Linked DNA regions of Caenorhabditis elegans. The protein of the gene in region 1 interacts with the protein of each later gene in a pairwise test. Each region holds a gene or a part of one and is shown on either strand. Other genes may lie near its edges.

What was found.
Region 2: the proteins of rike-1 (region 1) and F53F1.6 interact in a two-hybrid assay, tested with the Caenorhabditis elegans proteins (one large-scale study listed by BioGRID).

What each region holds. Positions count from the first base shown.
Region 1 is NC_003283.11:14,539,906-14,549,897, forward strand, and holds rike-1 (RING-type domain-containing protein), read right to left. Parts: upstream 5,917-9,992; coding exon 5,868-5,916; intron 5,825-5,867; coding exon 5,616-5,824; intron 5,576-5,615; coding exon 4,957-5,575; intron 4,804-4,956; coding exon 4,592-4,803; intron 4,501-4,591; coding exon 4,290-4,500; intron 4,245-4,289; coding exon 3,814-4,244; downstream 1-3,813. Other genes in the region: kcnl-4 (Calmodulin-binding domain-containing protein), read left to right, coding at 304-656, 722-830, 875-1,187, 1,593-1,656, 2,239-2,319, 2,427-2,536, 2,586-2,726, 2,778-2,988; C53A5.13 (Fibronectin type-III domain-containing protein), read left to right, coding at 7,036-7,087, 7,134-7,280, 7,378-7,496, 7,820-7,871, 9,553-9,680, 9,724-9,992.
Region 2 is NC_003283.11:13,412,529-13,421,761, reverse strand, and holds F53F1.6 (Protein containing ALS2cr12 (ALS2CR12) signature), read left to right. Parts: upstream 1-4,148; 5' UTR 4,149-4,157; coding exon 4,158-4,214; intron 4,215-4,407; coding exon 4,408-4,512; intron 4,513-4,570; coding exon 4,571-4,773; intron 4,774-4,821; coding exon 4,822-4,987; intron 4,988-5,134; coding exon 5,135-5,359; intron 5,360-5,426; coding exon 5,427-5,537; 3' UTR 5,538-5,666; downstream 5,667-9,233. Other genes in the region: srv-9 (Serpentine Receptor, class V), read left to right, coding at 214-497, 547-622; srv-8 (Serpentine Receptor, class V), read left to right, coding at 1,022-1,175, 1,281-1,371, 1,419-1,572, 1,678-1,790, 1,849-1,987, 2,136-2,419, 2,467-2,545; cut-2 (Cuticlin 2), read right to left, coding at 5,826-6,384, 6,574-6,662.

The DNA.
Region 1 (9,992 bases):
GATGCCTACATGAGGATAGGAACTTACCTTAAAGGTAGCTTACGTTTACTTTGTAGGCAAGCAAGTGATTTTCATGTCTTTAAAATTAGCTTTTAACTTTAGAACGCTACTGTCGATTTCAAATTTAAAATCTACCAATTTGGAAAAGTGGAAAATTTGAAAAATAAGCAGATTTTTGTTCTAAAAAATTGGGATTACGTTTAATTTGCTTCTGAATATGTTTGTCAATTAAAATTTAAAACAGAAATGTATGGATTATTAATGGAAATTGATATTGATGTTTTAAATAGATATATTTTCCAGGTTCCGATTGGGATTCACGTGACAGTGGAACTGGAGAACGGGCACGTCAAAGCCGTCCGTCAGTTTATGGGAAACGATACGGAGTAGCCATGAGCAACGCGGAGACAGTTCGCAAGAGATGGAAAATTCGTCGAAGATTATCAGATCTGAAAGTGAAACTGTGCGATGCCACTTTGATTCTCGCAGTCGGTGGGCTTATTTTGGCGATGCTTGATGTCGAATTCACAGCTACAAGGATCCTGGAAAGCTTCGTGAATACATCGGATTTATCGTTCATTTTAAGAACAGCTGCAATTATAACAACGATAGCTTTGCTCTTTTTTCTACTTTTCTACCATTTCATTGATATCAAAGTAAGATTTTTATTATTTCTGAAATCTTACAAACCTTCACGTAACACCGTAAATCTTAATTTTAGATTCAACTAGTCGAAACGGGTACTTCAAATTGGCGAGTAGGTATAACTTCGGAACGAGTTCTAAATACTTTATTAGAGGTGGCAATATGTGCAATTTGTCCAATTCCAGGTTAGATCGAAAGAGAAGATTTATTTTATGGATACATTTTTCAGAAACTGGTGTTGTCGCGTGGCCGATTCTTTCGAACATAGCTGAAAGAACGCGTGAACGTGTGAACATCCCAATAAGTGTTCTTTTGACTCTTCCAATGTTCTTACGGTTCTTCATTGTCTGTCGATATATGGTTCTTCATAGCTCCCAACACCAGGACACTGCAACTCGAACAATTGCTTCATTAAACCATATTGCAGTTGATTTTCGGTTTGTGCTAAAAAGCGAGATGTATGAACGTCCCTTGTTCGTACTTTCAATTGCGTCACTGATGTTCTGGTGCGTTGTTTCCTGGATGTTGACACAATGTGAAAGGTAAACATTAATCTCAGTAGTCTAGACTTTAAGGAGGACAAACGGTTTTTGAGTCATTGTTTGTAGATACTCAAATTGTGCCCAAGTGAACAAATTTCAGAATGCAACTTTTCAAAAATTCCTCAAATTTTTTTTGAGAAGCCTCGTTATGAAACACATTCATTTAGGCAAATTTTGAGTCTACACAATAAAAAAAAACAATTAGTTTCAGTCTCGTTGCTCAACTTTGGCAACTTCTATAGTCGGTACATTCTGAAGATTGAAAAAATGTCAATTGAAAAGATATATGGTACATTTTTGTATTTGATAGTTTTTTGACATTTTCGGAATAGAATTAGATAAGTTGCCAAAGTAGAGGAGTAGACTAATAGAGTGAAAAGGAATTGATTGAAACATTGAGTTCAGGTACGCCTACCCATCAATCAGTGGTTTTCAACATTTTGCTGATTATTTATGGTTTGAGATTATTGTAAGTTTGAAGAAATATACCTAGGATTCACGCGAAGCCAGCTCAGAGAGCTCAGAATCCTGAGGCCTATGGGGAATTTGATTTTTGAAAAAATTTACAGTGGTCAAAATGGGAATGGGCACTCTGAAATTCAGCCTGAATCGGTATGAAAAATAATCTGAATATACTAGACAAGTAAAATTGACAAATACTAGTCCTTGTATTGATTTTTGTAAAAATATCAATTCGACGATGGCCAATTGGAAAAGTTGAATATTGTGGCTAGATCAGATGGATTTGGAATGAACCTCGGATTCTTGCAGAATAATATTTATTGGTTTTTGCAAGAAAATCCGTTATACTTATTAATTCTGAAGATCCGAAAGTCGTCAAATTTTACCTCAAATTTTTATTATCGTAAACTCGTGAAAACGCGATACCTCACATTAAAGGTACACGCTCATTATCGCTTTGGGTCTTGCCACGATCTCCTTTATTTTGACTTCTAATAGTCTACAAGATTGTTCACATAATGTAGATAAGCTGAAGTTTATGAAATGTAACGTTTGAAGGGTCTAGAGTTTCAATTTTTGAAAATTGCAGACATTCTTCTCAATCGGTTACGGGGATGTTCAAGTGAATACCTATTGTGGACGAGGACTGGCAATGTTAACTGCCATCGTCGTAAGTTTTCTTATCAATTGGTTTTTCAATTTCTTCCTATGCTTAAACATTTCTTATCATCATAACTTCCTCATATATATTCTTCCTTTCTTATCAGTTTGTTTCAGGGAACACTGTTCTCTTCTACACTTATTGCTCTTATCAGTCGGAAGTTGATTTTAACTACATGTGAAAAAAGAGTGAATCATATCATTGCAGAGAATAATATTACCAATGAGTATGTGCTCTAAGATGAGCAATAAAAAGTCAAAATTTTGAATTCTCAGACATAAAAATGCAGCTGCTTGCGTACTTCAAAACACATGGAGAACCGTACTTCGTGCCAGAGATTATCAAAAAAGCAGTTCAAGAAGAAACCAACAAAGACTTGCAAAAATGCAGAGAATGTTGCTTTGTTCAGTTATAACGTTAGTTAATGATAAGCTCAGTTTCCTTTCCAATTTTGACTTTTTTTTCAGATTCCGTAAAACCCGGTGGAAGTTGCGAATGCAGATGGAGGATGAAGACGACTTCTTTACTGCTCGCCGAGCATTCAACGAGACTGAAGATCGTCTCCAAAAAGTACGTCAACGACAATCGCAACTTGATGGGAAGATCTCTATGTTGTTCGAAAATGTTGAGGCGTTGACGCAGGCTGTGATGTCGAGGAAATGTTATTTGAGGCAGTGATAATAATTTGAAATTCATGGGTGCATTTTATTTATAAAAGAATATTCACAGAATTTCGTGATTTGAGAGAAGGATAAATTATATTAATGAACAATTTAACACGAGTCTGGAATTGAAACAATAACACTTATTGGTTATTGATGGGGTGATGAAAGATGAAAGAACCAAAAAACACGTAAAGCGCAGGAGATCGAAAAAGGGTACTTATGAATTTCGTGCCCTTCTTTGATTGTGAAAATAGCTCCTACGCCTTTAAATGCGAAAAAAATGAGTTAAAAATTATAAAAAGTTTTTGGGGGCACGAAATTCATAATTACATTTTACAGAGAGACAGAAAAATGGAAAGATCCTAAAATTTAAATAATACGTTTAATAGTACTAGGTTTCAGCTAGATATGAATAATGAGCAAGTTGGATTTTTGGTAATCAGTCACAAAACAGAAGACCCGAAGAACTCGGGGGATGTCCAATTGGGGGGATTACCAACTCGGGGGATTGGCCCCGCCCACAGAACCGTGGCTGGCAATACGCCCATTTCTGCAACTGCACGGTTTCGAAACTGTATTTTTCTCAATAGAGCGAGAATTAACAAGAAAAATACAGTTTCAAAACCGTGCGGCAGTTGCAAAAATGGGCGTATTGCAAGCCCCGGTTCTGTGGGCGGGGCCAATCCCCCGAGTTGGTAATCCCCCCAATTGGACATCCCCCGAGTTCTTCGGGTCTCCAAAACAGTAAACTGATTGGTCTCAAAGGTTAACGCCAAACCGAAAATCAACGAGTACAGCTCATACAACAGCTGTTTTTATGAAAATAAGATACACGATTTTATGTAATAGCTTGCTCATTCGATGCAGATGAACCGGCTCCAACCATTGGTCCGGAGCAACTAATAATCTCCCATGCACGTTTTTCTGGATCAAATCGCTCGACTTCATTGATTAAGCTCCAATTGTCAGCACATCCGCGAATAGCATAAATAGCTTCGTTCGTCGAGTGAAGAGTGAAATATTTTCGATCTTTGCTCAACGATGGCTCATCTCTCCATGATTTCGTCAATGGATCATAGCTTCGAACTGATCTCAACGTATTACTCGAGTTACTCCATCCACCAGCAATGTAGATTCTTCCTCTGAAGGCACACGATCCAAATCCGGCGCGACTTCCTTGCATGTCGCCCACAATTTCGAACTTTTGACCAGGTTCTGACAGCTTCTCAATCTTCTCTTCATATTCTTTTCCATTGAAACCTCCCAACACTGAAATTAAACCTTTTTTAATCAACTAATTAATCGAAATCATACCATAAACCTCTCCATTGCATGGAACAACCGCTGCATCGGCACGAGGCCTTTGCAACGATGGTCCATCCTTCCACTCTCCTTGATCAGTATCATAAACTTCCACAGAATTCATATAAGTGCTATCATATCCACCGGCCACGTACATTTTGTTGTTATGGATTCCCGCCGACGTTCGTGTTCTTCCACGCTTCATTTTATTACACTGTAATAACTTTGACATTTTTGTTGAAATCAATAAAAATTATTTGTTTTAAAAGTTTACAATTCTAGAGAATTTTTTAAAAGCTGAAAGAATAACCCACATCTCTTCGCAAGTTTTTCTCCCGATCATACATTTCAACGTTGTTCAACCATGATCCGTTATTCATTCCTCCGACTATATAAATTTGAGATTTGCTGCAGGCAACAGCGTAGTTTGATTTTGGGTTCGGCATTCGCCCAACTGGCGTCCATCCTCTGTTTTTAGGATCGTAGACTCCAATCAAAAGTGGTTCACGGGCACTCTGCTTTCGATCTGGAAAAAAAGAATAATTTTGAGAGATTTTTTAGACTGGAATCGCGGGAGGAGTCTGTATAAAATGCAAAAGCATGATAACAACGAACGACACGCGAGCGTCGCGATGAGCTTTTTTCGTTCAAGAATGCACAACATAAATATAACTTTTACCTGCAACCAATACGGGATCCTGACTAGCGAAAACGAAATTTGCCTTAGTAACAGGTTGTTTAGTTTGAAAAACGATTCGATCGTGCTCTTCGATTTCGTTATTCAAAAAATCCAATCGTGTTCCAGCATCTTTGACAAGAGCTATCGTATCACTTATTTTCTCCATTTCAGCTTCGATGTTGTTGAAGTGAGTCTTTCTTCCGGGCGGAGACAACTTTTCATGCTTTTCGAAGTAATTTTGAAGTGATTTAATTGTCGCCGCAAATTTGTCAGAGATATCATCGCACACCTGCTTCGAAAGCTCACTGATTTTACTGATTTTATTTCCGAGATTAGTCGGTGCTTGATCTTCGATACTATTTTTCAAAAGAGCCAGCTGCATTGTCTGATGTCCTTCGTGTTGGGCCCCATCCAAAGCACAATCACCGCAAATCGCCATCTTCTTAGCTCGTGTCATTGCTTCATCGACTCCATCATCTCCAACAACTAATACTAATTCTTTTTTGCCTTCGGCTTGCTTCAGAACTCCTTTTCCGACGGCGCACGTTTTACAAATTCGTAATTTCTTGGAATGTAGGGTGCACTCACTGCATGTTCCTTCGTCTAAGCTCTGCAAAAACTTTTTCTGGGTTTTTATAGAAAAAGGAAATTATACTTACATTTGTGGATTGTGCCTGTGGCGCTACTCCCCCACTTTGCATACTTTTAAAGTGCTTTATTAATTCTAAAACTTGATAATTGATTGTAGTAATTGCGAAGGCTTCTTCTCGATTGCACTGTGGACATTTTGATGAGACCATTTGATGTTTGCAACTTTCACATATGGAGTGGCCGCATGTGCCTATGCAAGGTTTCCGGAGTTCGGTGTCTGAAATTTAGAAGTTTTTTTCGAAATTCATTAATGTGCTCACCATATTCATTATAACAAATTATGCATTCTGTTGTATTCACAATTGACATTTCTTGAAAATTATTGTGTTTGAACCAACTGTTGACCCGTCTTGTCTGAAAAGAGGTTCAATGTGTGTGAAATTATCGATTTTTAGGGAAAACTTGCGCATTCGATTTTGCAAAAGGATTTTCTAAAATAAAATAAGAATAAGATATTTTCCGCGCGGATGAGTGGTGTGCGGCACGCGAATAAATTTCTATCCGGAAAATTTTCGGCGGAAAATAAATATTATTTATGGATATATCCGGATACTTCGAAAGGGCGCATTTGCACACGCAAGGATTCTAGGCCGCGAAGCTTGACATTAATTTATCAAAACCCATTTGGATTTCGAATCCGAAAGAAATTCGATAGATTTAAAAGTGATTCAATTTTGACGATTGGAGAAATTTCGAAAACATGCAATATTGAAATAGTTTTATTTTGAAACACAGGAACAAAACAATGAACAGCGAAAATTCGGAAGAAAACTAGAAGATATTATAAAATAAGAATGAGCAAGGCGCGTTTATCCGTCGACAAAGAGAATGAGAGAAACATACGGACATTGCCACGGTTAAAAAAGGAAATAGAATATCCTAAAAAATGATGAAAATCATTGCTTTTAAGTAACTGTTTTAGCATTATTTGAAATGTTCTGTTTCCTCATATAAAATTTCTCAGATTTTAAAAAATTGCTTGAAATCAAAATTTCCCAACTCTTTCTAATACTTATTTGAACCTAATGAAGAAGCCACGCTCATTTTGAAACCATTCACCATATTCTAATTTCGCTTTTTTGTGCAGTTCTAAATTTAGAGAAAATTCGATCAGGGAAATTAGCCAAAGTTGGAAATTTGCAATTTTATATCCACCTTTCACAGAATTTCTCATTTATTTCCAGTTCGTTTTACAGATATCTAAAAATTAGGACAGGTTTGAATTACTGTATTCAAGGTTTTTTTTATTGCGACACGATAAAATGCCTTTCTCCTACCGATATCAAATTTTCGTTATTTTTCTCTTCTCTCGTTTTCAAAGACCAAGAAAGAATTCTATCAATATTATCCTTTTTGACACACGATGATTTCTCCTTTTCTCTTCATCCAATCTAATTTTTCTGTTTTCACAACGTCAATCTAATTCGAATGCGATTTCCCATACACTTTCTGATTTTTATTCCGTACTTAATACTCGTTTGTAAGTTAATAAGCTCGTAGTTCTATAAATAGTTTCGAATTATTAGCAGGAGAAAACGATATCGATGAAGATCGAGAAGGTGATGGTGTCGATGTAATTGAGGTTAGAAATGACGCAATTCGAATTCGATGGAAACATGATTCCGATGAAGAAATTGTGACAAGACAACGATTAGTTGTAACTGTTATGAGAAGTACGAGCTCTGGCCATTTTGAACATTCAGAATATAGAATATATGATAGGCTCACAATATAATTGTTATCTTACCAATTTGAGTTTTACGATTTCAGGTTCACAACAAACGGAAAAATCATCTCAAACAGTTTTGGTTGATGCATTTTTGCGCGACTACACATTTATTGGATTAGCTGGAAACACAACTTACCGTCTATCAGTGGAAGCTTTCAAGGTATCCTATATGAATGCTTTCTTGTGAACAAGTATATCAAATTATGTAGTTCCGACGTTGTTGCGGTGGCGGTCCTCGGAAATGAAGAACCACTCCTTTCGGGCAGAGATGCTATCTGAAAAATTTGATAAATATATAATGTATTAAAGAGACGATATTGTGAAAACAATTATTATTTTGACGAAAAGGTAAATATATAGGTTGAAAATCCTCACTCACAGTACAAATATTTAGAGAAAATAACAATTGTAGTTTTATCCATTTTTGAAAATATAGCTGTTGATTATTTATGAAAATTATGAAGCTTCTGAAAACGTTTGCAGAATGAAACAAGTCTTTGGTACGCAAGCAACATGGCAACAACAAGTCTAGCAGGTATTGAACTTTTTAATTGAAAAATATTATTTTTAATTCAGAAATGACCTAGCAAAGTATAACTTGCTATCAGGATCGATTTTTTAGACAGCGCCACGTTTAGAACATTCTTATCAGTTTCTTTAACAACTGTCAAACTGCACAAAATTTGATTTCATATGAGATCTGAAATATTTATTTTTTCTTCGACAAAAGCTTCGAAATTCAGATTGACGATGTTACAACTATTAGTTAGAAAAACCTTAAACTTGACAAAAAACCCATCAAAAATTGAAACAATAAAAAACCTGAGGAAGAAGGAAGAGACAACAACAAAAAACCTGAGGAAGAATTTTTAAATGCTCCGTACTAAAAGTAGTTATTATTTTAAGATGCATCATGATTAATAAATAGACCTTAAATATCAAATTCATTCAACCACCAATCACCGTCCCACCTACCTCTCATAGCGTCTTTTGCTACATATCCTAGGAAAATCAAAAACTCTGCCAATATCTTTATCTTTGATTTTTCACGGTGAATGATTCTGAAACTGGACGAGAATGGTCTTGATTCTATAGATTCTACCGTGGCGAATTTTAAGAAAATACTACTTATCCAATGACGTCACGAAGTACATTTACATGTAAAGAAATACGTGCTATGAGGTAATGAGTCGTGTTTCGATACATTTCGCAACGCCAGTTAGTTATATTAAAGTTCGTTTTTGGAAATTTGGTTGACATGGGCATTTAATTATTGGATTTTGATTCAAAACTCAATGTATGTATATCTTCTATTTTTGGTATATGTTATTACACGCCACGCAGAATTATTATATTCAATTTAGTGTATAGAACAAAGAAAAAAAAATCGAAATTTAAAAGTGAGGAAGACTCACATTGTCCCCTCACTCTTCCCTCTTCGAGGCAATAATGTAGAGAGACGCAGAAAAGAAAAGTGATGTCAGGTTTCTATTTGAACACTCATAGAAGAGAATATAAGGGTGCAAGAGGCTATAAGTCTAATAGAGCAAAAACAGTATTTCCAAAAAGAACCAAAAAATTGATTACAAATTGATTGATTACAATAAGACCAGTTCAACTCAAAAGGGAAATATATGTACTTTTGATCGCGTTATATCGCGTTAAAAATCAGTTTAAAAAGGAATACCATCCTGAAGAGTCAACGAGCCAACAGTTCGTTTTGTAAATCAATTTCTAGGGCTTCCCAAAAAAATGTTTTGAAAACTAATAAAAATTAAAATTAAAAATTTTGAAGTGTGTGTACTCATAGATAAATTCCTGATTGTGTCATGAATGCCAATTTGACACTACCAAAAACAATATTTTCGGTAACAATCATTATTGGCAATATACTTGAACTAATCTCAATAAATACTAATAGTGCATTTACATATACCGTATTTTTGCTATTAGTATTGCTATTTAAATTGCTACATCTCTTAGAATCGGGTCGCTATTAAACTATCCCGGAAAACGATTACCGGAAATCCTCTAGTAGTTTTGCATTCAAAATGGCAAAAGACATAATTTCATCAATTTCGTCCATAATTTTAGCGGAACATTTTGTAGCGGAACCTGTTTAAGTTAATTTTACTTTCAAAATGGGCAGTTTTTAAAAAGTTTAAAGAGCAAGACAAATACTACAAATTTTTTAATGATTTTTTTTTGCTCTTTAGCTTTACCATGGTTACATGCTCCATCGGAATTGACTTTAATGGATCGTAAGAACGAATCAATTGAAGTATCATGGATTCCACCTGTTGTTCTTGAAGCTGGACATCACTTTATTATTACACAACACCTGGTTTGATATAGATGTCTTATTGCTAAGAGTAGATATAATATAGGTCAAAGTATACGATTTGTCGGGTAATAGTTCAACAAACAAGAGATCAATCACTGTGCCCATTCCACTAACAAGACTTCAAATTGATGGATTAAAACCAGCGACAGCATATAACGTGACAGTTCAGGCCGGAACAAGTTATGGTTATGGTAATAAAGTCTGGTGCGCTTTTGCTACATTGGATAGTGATGAGGCAAACATCTTGAAGTTAAGATCCAGAACGCCGAATTCGTTGACGGTTTATTGGCCAGCTAATTGGTTAACAAAGAC
Region 2 (9,233 bases), 1.1 Mb from region 1:
AGAGTGTCAATTCCCAGTTTGACCTTGGAGTCACACGTGTTTTTGGTATTTTGCAAAAATACTTCTGTCGGAAAACTCTCAAATTAACGTTATTAACCCGATTTTCGAATCAACCAAAAGTAGAGACAGTTTTTTAGAGATTAGAGAAATGTTCTAGAGAAAAGTAGAGTATTTTTTATAACTCAAATTTTTACTTCAGACCTAATTTTCCAGAAATCTGCCATCAAATCAAACTCTATTACACCAAGTCAACATCAATCGAACCAAGAGAAACAAAAACGAGAAAATGGACTGGACAAAATGACGTTCATAGTGTGCCTGGTTGAGCTGATCTATTTTGCATTTGTAGTTTATTCACTTCAAATCAATCAATACATGAATAAGCGAATATTTTACTTTTTATATAACATCCTTTGTGTCATATATTCAACGTTCTCAGCCTGGATGCTTCTGATCATATCAAAACCTATTAATTCTCAAGTTCGTCAGCGATTCTCGTATATCACCCAGAAAAATGATATTTAATACTTAATACAACATTTTCAGAAATCTCGGTGGTAAAAAGTTGACCCGGTCAATTTCAATATCCGTCCAAGGAAGTCGAGATAATAACAAATCATGAATTTTTATGGAATAAATTTGTACATATGATCTCAAAGTTCTCAAAGTTCCCAGCGGTCAAAAATTGGTTACTTACTCGAATGAAAAATGTGATTTCATATTCTGGGGGTTTTTGTCACATGTTCCACTTACTCACATTTTCGCAAATCCTCTGATTTTCCCACCGCTGCACATTTAACATGCATCTCCAATTTTTTATTTCGCTTCAATAATCTTGAAACAAAACCAAACACAGATTTTACAAACTTTCAAAACGAAATAGGTTGGCCTATGATCAGGCAGCACAATTTCGAATCTGAAAATAGTTTCTTGGTTTTTTGTTTTTTGTTGAAGTAACTATTTCAGTTTTTTGGATCTCTCATTTGCAGCTCCTGAGATCAGGATAATTTCAGTTTTCCAGATGAATAACGTGGTTTACGACAGCTTCTCTGAGTGGTTTCTCATTGCAGAGACAGCTTCATTGACTGTTTTATTTGCAATTACTGTTATTTCATTTGCAGTTTATTTTGTAGAAATACAAATTTTATTCACTTCGAGGAATTCTACTTTCAAAGGTCAGAGAAGATAATATTATTGGTTTTAGGAATTCAAAAAACGTTTAAAAATCCAAGAACTAATTCAAAACAGCACAAATTTCTCTGAAATAAAAAATGTTTCAGGCCCATTCTACCGTCTTATGTTCATTGGAATTCTTGTTGACATGATATCTGCCGTAAATCTTTTTGCGTTACAAATCCTGCCAGCTAGACAGTAACCGTATTCCACATATCTTCTAACCAAAACCCTCACATTTCCAGATGGTTAGCATTATTTTATTTTCCGAATGAAAGCTGGCTCGGTGCAATTTTCTATGCAATTTCGTATGGAGGTCGTTGTGTCCAAGGAGCAACCGCTTCAATACTATCATTTTGTCGTGTTTGTGCGGTTTGCTTCCCATTGTTTTATCAAAAGGTAGATTCATGATGATTCATAAACCGATAGTGCTTATAAACCAGTTCCCCAGTTTTGAAAATTCCTGAAGTCAGCTTCATGACTCATCGTCTTATCAGTTTTCAGCTGAGTTATCCAAAATACACGTACACAATGCAAGCCATCCAACTCTCAGGAGCAGTTGCATCAGTGTTTCTCTTGCTCCCACGCGAGTACAAGTATGTGAATGAGAACGGAGGGTATGTGTGACACTTGTTTAACCTCAGAACACATTTTTTGTTTGCATTTAAACTTCAGATATTACTCGGCATTTGTTAACAACGAGTTCAGGAAACCATTTTTCAATTTTGTGGCGGTACTCGAAATTCTTTTTGTTTTGGCAATTGTTGTGAACAATTTGGTCACTTATATAACGTATAGATTTAAACTCAAAAAAGTGGGTTCAAAATATAAGAAAGAAGCATGAAAATGAAATGTGGATAGTGAAACATCGGCATGATCTTACAAAAACATAGAAAACAAAACTTGTACTCTATTAAAAAAAAAACAAAAAAAATTGTATAAATCTTGACTGCTACTTTCAGAAAGTGTTGTCAAGACGCACTTCGGTGGCCGGATCCAAATATCTTGACAGTAGAGAAAAACAGAAAAAAGAGAGCAGCCTGGACAAAATGACCGCTATAGTTTGTAGTCTCGAACTTATTTATTTTGCATTTGTTGTGTACTCTCTCCAAATAAATCAAACGATGAACAAGAGAGTTTTCTATTTTCTCTATAATATTCTTTGTGTCATCTATTCAACCTATTCAGCGTGGATGTTACTTTTGTTTTCAAGACCAATAACTGTGCAGTTTAAGCAGAGATTTTTGTACGCTTTACACTATAATTCCCAAAAAAAAACAATATGTATTTCAGAAGGCTTAGCTCAAAACGATCAACTCGTTCTATTTCAATTTCAGTCCAAGGAGGCAGCCGGGAAAATAACAACAAATGAAAAGAAATCAAATTCAATTGACTTTTTTGTTGAATGCTTGTCGGCTCTTATCTTTTTAGAAATAATGATAACTTTTTCATGCATTATTGAACGGGATCTTATAGTTGAATTGAGAAACACTCGATTTCGTGATACTACAAAACACAGTTATTTTCTTTTCAACAGTTATTTTCTACAACAGTTATTTTCTTTTCAAAATATCACAACAAAAGTTACATGAGTGTTTTTGAAAATTTATCAGTACAATGAAACCTTCAAAAACATCAGTATAAGTTTCCTCAATCAAATGTCAATGAGAAAAAAGTGGGAAGAAACCCTCATTAATTACTCGTACGATGGCTGTCCTGTGTGATACGTAAAGAAAGAGCACAGAACACGAGCGATGAGTCATTTTCTCAACTGGCTCAATTCAGCTTCCCGCCGCCCATTTAGGAACTGATTGTAAAGTTTTACGTATATAAAAATAACGATTCAACCCAGTGTGAATAACTTTTTTTTTCAAATTTCACTCGATATTAGAGTAATTTTTATCGCGTAAGATCTCACAGTTTTTTCATCTTTTGAAATCCCGTATCCTTGCACTATTTTCATTGTTGATATGGATTTTTTACATTTTAAATTTTTTTTTAATTTCCGTTATTTACAACGTGTGTTATACAAGAGACACATAGATCTTTAAAAATAGTAGAAAATGTAGAAGTGTAAATCTTGCAAGCAGGGAACATTTTGTAAACTAGGTATATTTTTGGTGATTTCCCTGAAGCTGTCAAGTGTCAAATACGACGCAGATAAAAAACATCCGCAATCAAGTCAGATGGTTTTTTGATGATCATTTCCCGAAATAGACCAGTGACCATGATTCTTTAAAAGATCTTCAACTCAATAGAGAGCAAACTATACACATTGTAGCTGGCCTATCACTTTGGGAACAAACTGGTGTCTAACTTCTCAACCGCCTCTATGTTCGCAGAGATTTTTATTTGGTGTTTGCAAAAATGTATATTCAATCCAATTAGAAATCAAAAAAAAATCAATTCAATGTTTAAATAACTTTCCTATCACAAAAATGATTGTTCCGACAACCGCTAAAAATGTGATAGTTGTATTCTACGCTTTATCATTCATCAATACTTCTCTTCACTTTTTCCGATTAGTTTTTTTTCCACTTGAAGCAATGATTTTTCAAAACTTGTTAGTGATTATTTTTAATTCGGGAGGAAACTATTACCACCATAGTGTACATTTGTGTTGAAAACCTAAGTACTTAAAGACGGTCCCTTGTAGGATTATTGTATTGTTTTGAATAAAGATTAACATTACATCTAGTTTTACGAGGCGTTAGCCCCAAATTCTAAATCAAATATCAAAAGACATCGTCGACTGAATCGTCGTTTTAAGACATTTTCCAAGTCTTGTCCAAGTTCAATGTTCAAGTTTAAATTTAATGTGTGTTAAACTCTGATCGCATATAATATTCTTTCAAGTGCTTTCAACTGATTACTGTTTTTATCTGAAAAACACAAGGCAAAAATTATAGTAAACGTACTCTATTTTTAAACAAATTTAAATCCTTGTAACTGTAATCAATATCAACTTGAATTCCAGTGAAGGAATGGAAGAATTAAATAAATACAAACAAGAGATCAAGGATAATGCATTGAAGGAACTGGTGAGCTTTTCGTTTGATTAATTTATTAATAGAAACAGTTAGAAAATTTCAATTGATTTATAGTTTTGAAAGTAAACAGAGGCGCCATATGAAAGTCTATTTCATAAAGAGCATTAATAAGCAGTTGTACAAATTTATTAGATTTTGAATATAATTTTTAAAAACGTTTAATTTTTTAAAACATTTCTTAAAGGATTCGACAAAGAAAAAAATTAACGAGGAGAAAAAACACTGGGGTGATTTACCATTAACGTACATGCCAATTTCCAATGGAACAATGACTAGAGAGTACGCAGAGGTACAATTTATAATTTTAGAAAATCAGTCCACCCACCTTAAAATGATTAATATTCCAGACTGAACAATTTTATAGTCACGTTGTCAACGTAAAAAATATACTCGATAGTTTGTTCGAAGAAGTAGAGAACGATATCAAACGGCTTGATGCAATTTTCTGCTTCAATGAATACACCGTATACGGACAAGAGGACATAGAACAAATTAAAGAAAATATAAAAAATGAATATAAAACATCGGTTGCCCATTTCAGCAAGCTATGGTGAATTTTTAATTTTTCAAAACAATTTAGTAGTTTCTTAATATTCAGGGAAGATATCAAAGCAATGAGCGTTCTTCTTCGTTCATGTTTCAATAAAACATGGGACCGTCATTCCGAAGTGACTCTCCTTGTAAATCTTCTGATTGCCATACTGTATCGATTATTAGTTCCGTTGCAGACTGTGATCCAAACCCTTGATGAATCCATTAAACACGTTAGTCTATATCTTTGAAGTAGTAAACCACACAAAAAATAAACAAAAAAATTGATTCAAATCAAAATTTCAGTCAGTCAAAGCCCAGAAATAGTATGTGGCACTTTTAAACTTAAAAATCTTTAATCAATTAGTTATTTTTTGCAGAGAGGTGGCCCTAATTATGACAAGAACAATGACAATTTCTTCCTCTTGAGAGAATGTGGATCCGCTTTAAGAGAGTGTAACACTCAAATTAAAATGGACGAAAAAAATTTAATCATTCGGATAATAAACACAAAAGATTTAGAAGGAGGCTTTAAAAAAAGCTTAGAAACTCTATTGAATGAAAATGAAAGTGCGAATTTTATCAAGTTACTCGCAGAATACCTGGTCAGTTTGAATGCTTCAATAGGGAATTCTTATGTTGTGATCGACTTTTTGAAATTGTAACTTTCAGGAAGGAGTCAATTTAAATGTGGATGTACAAGTGCTGAAAGAGAATTTCTTCATATTTGCCCAAGGAATCAAACAATTTTATCTCAACAATGTCGAGACACTTAAAGATTGAACAATGGACTCAAAATTGTTTTCAAAATACCTTAACTTATTTTTCACAGTTAGACTTTCGAAGTCTTTGTTTAATTTTGTTCAACTTGCCAGATTCCAATGTTCAGAAATAAAAAGTTTACGAAAAAAACATATGCTTTTCTTGCAGTCAGAGAGCAGTGTTTGAGACCAAAATTTCATTTCGAGAATTGGGTCAAAACAATTGACTTGATATACAGGTAAAGGAAGATTCAACAATTGATAACAACGAATAAATAAAAGGAGATATATCTAAACGTTATTAGATCGTCTAGTTCTTCTTGTGTCCAGCGTAGGCTCCTCCGGCTGGGGCAGCAGCCTGATATCCTCCGGCGGCTGGAGCGGCTTCAACGGCAGCTGGGGCAGATGCTTGGTATCCTCCGGCTGGGGCAGCTCCTCCGAGTGGGGCAGATTCAACAGCGGCTTGTCCGGCCTGGTAAGCTCCTCCGACGGCTGGGGCGGCTCCTCCGAAAGCTGGTCCAGATTGGTAGGCTCCTCCGGCTGGGGCGGCTCCTCCGAAAGCTGGCCCGGATTGGTAAGCTCCTCCAACTGGGGCGGCTCCTACGAAAGCTGGGGCGGCTTGGTAAGCTCCTCCGATTGGGGCGGCTCCTCCGAAAGCTGGTCCGGTAGCGTATCCTCCGACTGGAGCAGCTGGGGCGGTGGCATATCCTCCTGCTGGGGCAGCGATTGGGGCAGCGGCGCATGGAGCTGGTCCTCCGCATCCTCCTCCGAGGGATGGAAGAGAAAGTCTTGGGAGCTCAAAGCGTGGGAGTTGGAGTGGTGGAAGAGCTGGTGCTCCGCATCCGCATGGTGGTGGTGGTGGTGGTGGACTGGAAAAGAAAATTTGAAGTTGAATCATGAAATTAAGTTTTGATTTCTGCAGTTTTACTATTAGAGGAATCGACAATGAATGGCTTTTACTAAAGATAAATCTCAGGAACCAGAAAAATAAAATAGGTGAAGAATATAAAAAAAAATCTGGAATTTAATAAAATAAATCAATAAAATCAAAAACTTACGCGCATCCACATCCTCCACCTCCTCCAGATGGAAGAAGGAAAGCCTGAGCGGCGGCGATGGTTGTGAAGAAAACGATGAGCTTCTGCATGTTTAATAGAAGTGTTAGAACCAAATGAATTGGATGACTTTTACCGATTGGCCCGTCGCTTAAAAAGGGTGAAGCATGTGGGCGGGGCTTTTCGAATAAAATGCCAAAGGAGCCTGCCTTTCAGGCGAGAGGAAGGTATTGGTCAAAACCAGAAATTGCGACATTGAGGGAAATCTGACGTACGGCACGGTGGGACATGAGGGACGCGCGGAAAAGGACAATTGATATGACGAGTTCTGCAACGAAAAGTGTTTCTCTCTTTCTCTTCACCTCATGCCAGACAACGGCAGATCATGGATTCGGATAATAGATATAAGGAAGGTGAGACAACCAGCGGCATTGATGGGGCGAAAAAGCGAAATTAGGATTATCAGGATTTTACGGTGAGACGATGGGAATAGATGCGTGAAATGAGGCATGCAATAATACATATGCAAAAGTCCAAGGTTTGCCAAAAAATCGTTTGACGAAACTTTGAAACTGTTCTTTACAGGACTAGAAGCTAGATAGATTTGAAACGCATTAAGGTTTTGTTATCTTGAAATTAGCATAACTTAATTTTTTTTACAAGTTTCATGAAAAACTATCTCGAATACCCAATGTTTCAGATTTTTAGGCACTTTATTTTTTAAAAGGCATTGATTTTATTGGGAAGTCCAAAATAGAGATGCGTTTTTTTGCGGATTACGTCTCTGATCGTTTAAATTTTTAAATTTAAGTTTCTAACACTTTGTTATCATCATTCAGTTTCACATTTTTCGGAAGATTCAGAGATTAAGATTCGGTTATGATTTACGTATACCATTAAAAACTTAGCATTAAAAACTTGATCTACACAAGTTTCCAGTTTTCAATTTGCTAATTTAAAAAAGGTATGCCTGATCAGAAAACTTAGTTTTCAATATTTCGAAAATTTGTTTTGCAAAAGTTAAGTCGAATTACTTAAATGCTTTTTTCAATCATAACATAATCATGCAAATCAATATGTATTTTACGACCTCAGGAGTTTCGGCAACCCAGATAGGCAAATTTTTAAACCTATCATAATTTGGAAGCACATTCAAATTAGAATGTGCTGAAACATGCCAGTTTGCTACATTTTCCCAAGGCTAGCCTAAAAGATGACACACATATTTTAAAATATATCCATTTCTTTTTTCTATTTTTTTGGGAAAATTAAGCGGGGCGATATACTACTGAAAGATTTGGTTATCATGTGCACAAGACCTTATCATGACTCGGTATAACATTGGAGTTTTTCAGAGTCAGATTTCTTGTTGTCTTTTTTTTTTAATTCAATAATATCTTTAGATTCCAGTAACGGCGAATTATTCACCAAAATTTACACAATCAGCTTCTCGTTTCTGAGTTACCTTATGTTGCATAACATTCCTAGTGAAAAAATCGTTTCCTGTCACTTTCATCATTCCTCCATTCCTTACTAATGCGTCACGATGCCCTTTGTGATGAAGCTTCAGTACCCGATACGAACCAGACGATTGTTGCGTTTAAGTTGATGCGCAGTGACCTCGATGGAAGAAGCTTCTCCATTTCTCTTCATATCTTTCGAAATGATTGGCCGAAATACGATAAGAATCGGTGGCATATCTTTCCTCTCTTTCTTCCGTTGAAAAGATGAAATAAGGGTATGGCAAGAGAGAAAGGCATTTTGATATCCACCTCCTTATCCACACACATAAACTTTCTCATTTTGTTTTTATTCAATGAAAGGCGGACTTAAGGGATTAGGTATATTTGATTTATATATATCATTCTGTATGATCCAGAGTAGACGAAATTATTTGGATAATGAAGTGAGTGTAATTGAACATTTAAACTGATGGAAAAGTGATTTCGCTTGCAAAGATTATTACGAAAGAATCACTACAAATACCAATCACTACACATTTTGAGTAGTTACGGTGTGTTTCGGAACAGGATAATTCTAGATACAAGGAAGTGGTTCAGGCTGGAAAATTTTATCTAGTTAAAATAAATTGTGGAAGTTTCTCTGGGCAGAACTGTAAACTTTGAAAAAATATTAATTTGTACCAATCAGAACAAAATATTATTATTCTATTAAACGTACCGCCAGTAGGATGTTGTTTTAAGAAATTTACAAAAATGCAAAATTACTAAATACACTCCAGATAAAACACTGCAATTGTTTTACAATTTTCAGTCTAGGGTTTGGCAGGTAATTCATTAATCATAAAAAATATATTAATGTTTTTTTTGGTCGGTTTCCAATATTATTATTAGTTGCGAAAACCGAGTAATCACAATCTTTTGGCTGCAAAAAATTGAATGTTTATTTTGGGAAGTTTAGTTTTATATTTAATTATTTAGAAGTTTTAACTACTTCCTAACTGACGCAACTCCAGCTCTAAATTGAACGAAAATCGTGTTGAGTAGTAGGAATAGAGGTGGTGTAGTCGAAATGCTAGTATTACTTTTTTTGAGAAGTTTTCAAGAAGTTTCATAAAAAATTTGGTGTTTTCAGAAAAATCCTAGTCTAATAGAAAAATTCGCCTACATCGCCTTTATTCCTATTACTCTAGTTTGGCAACT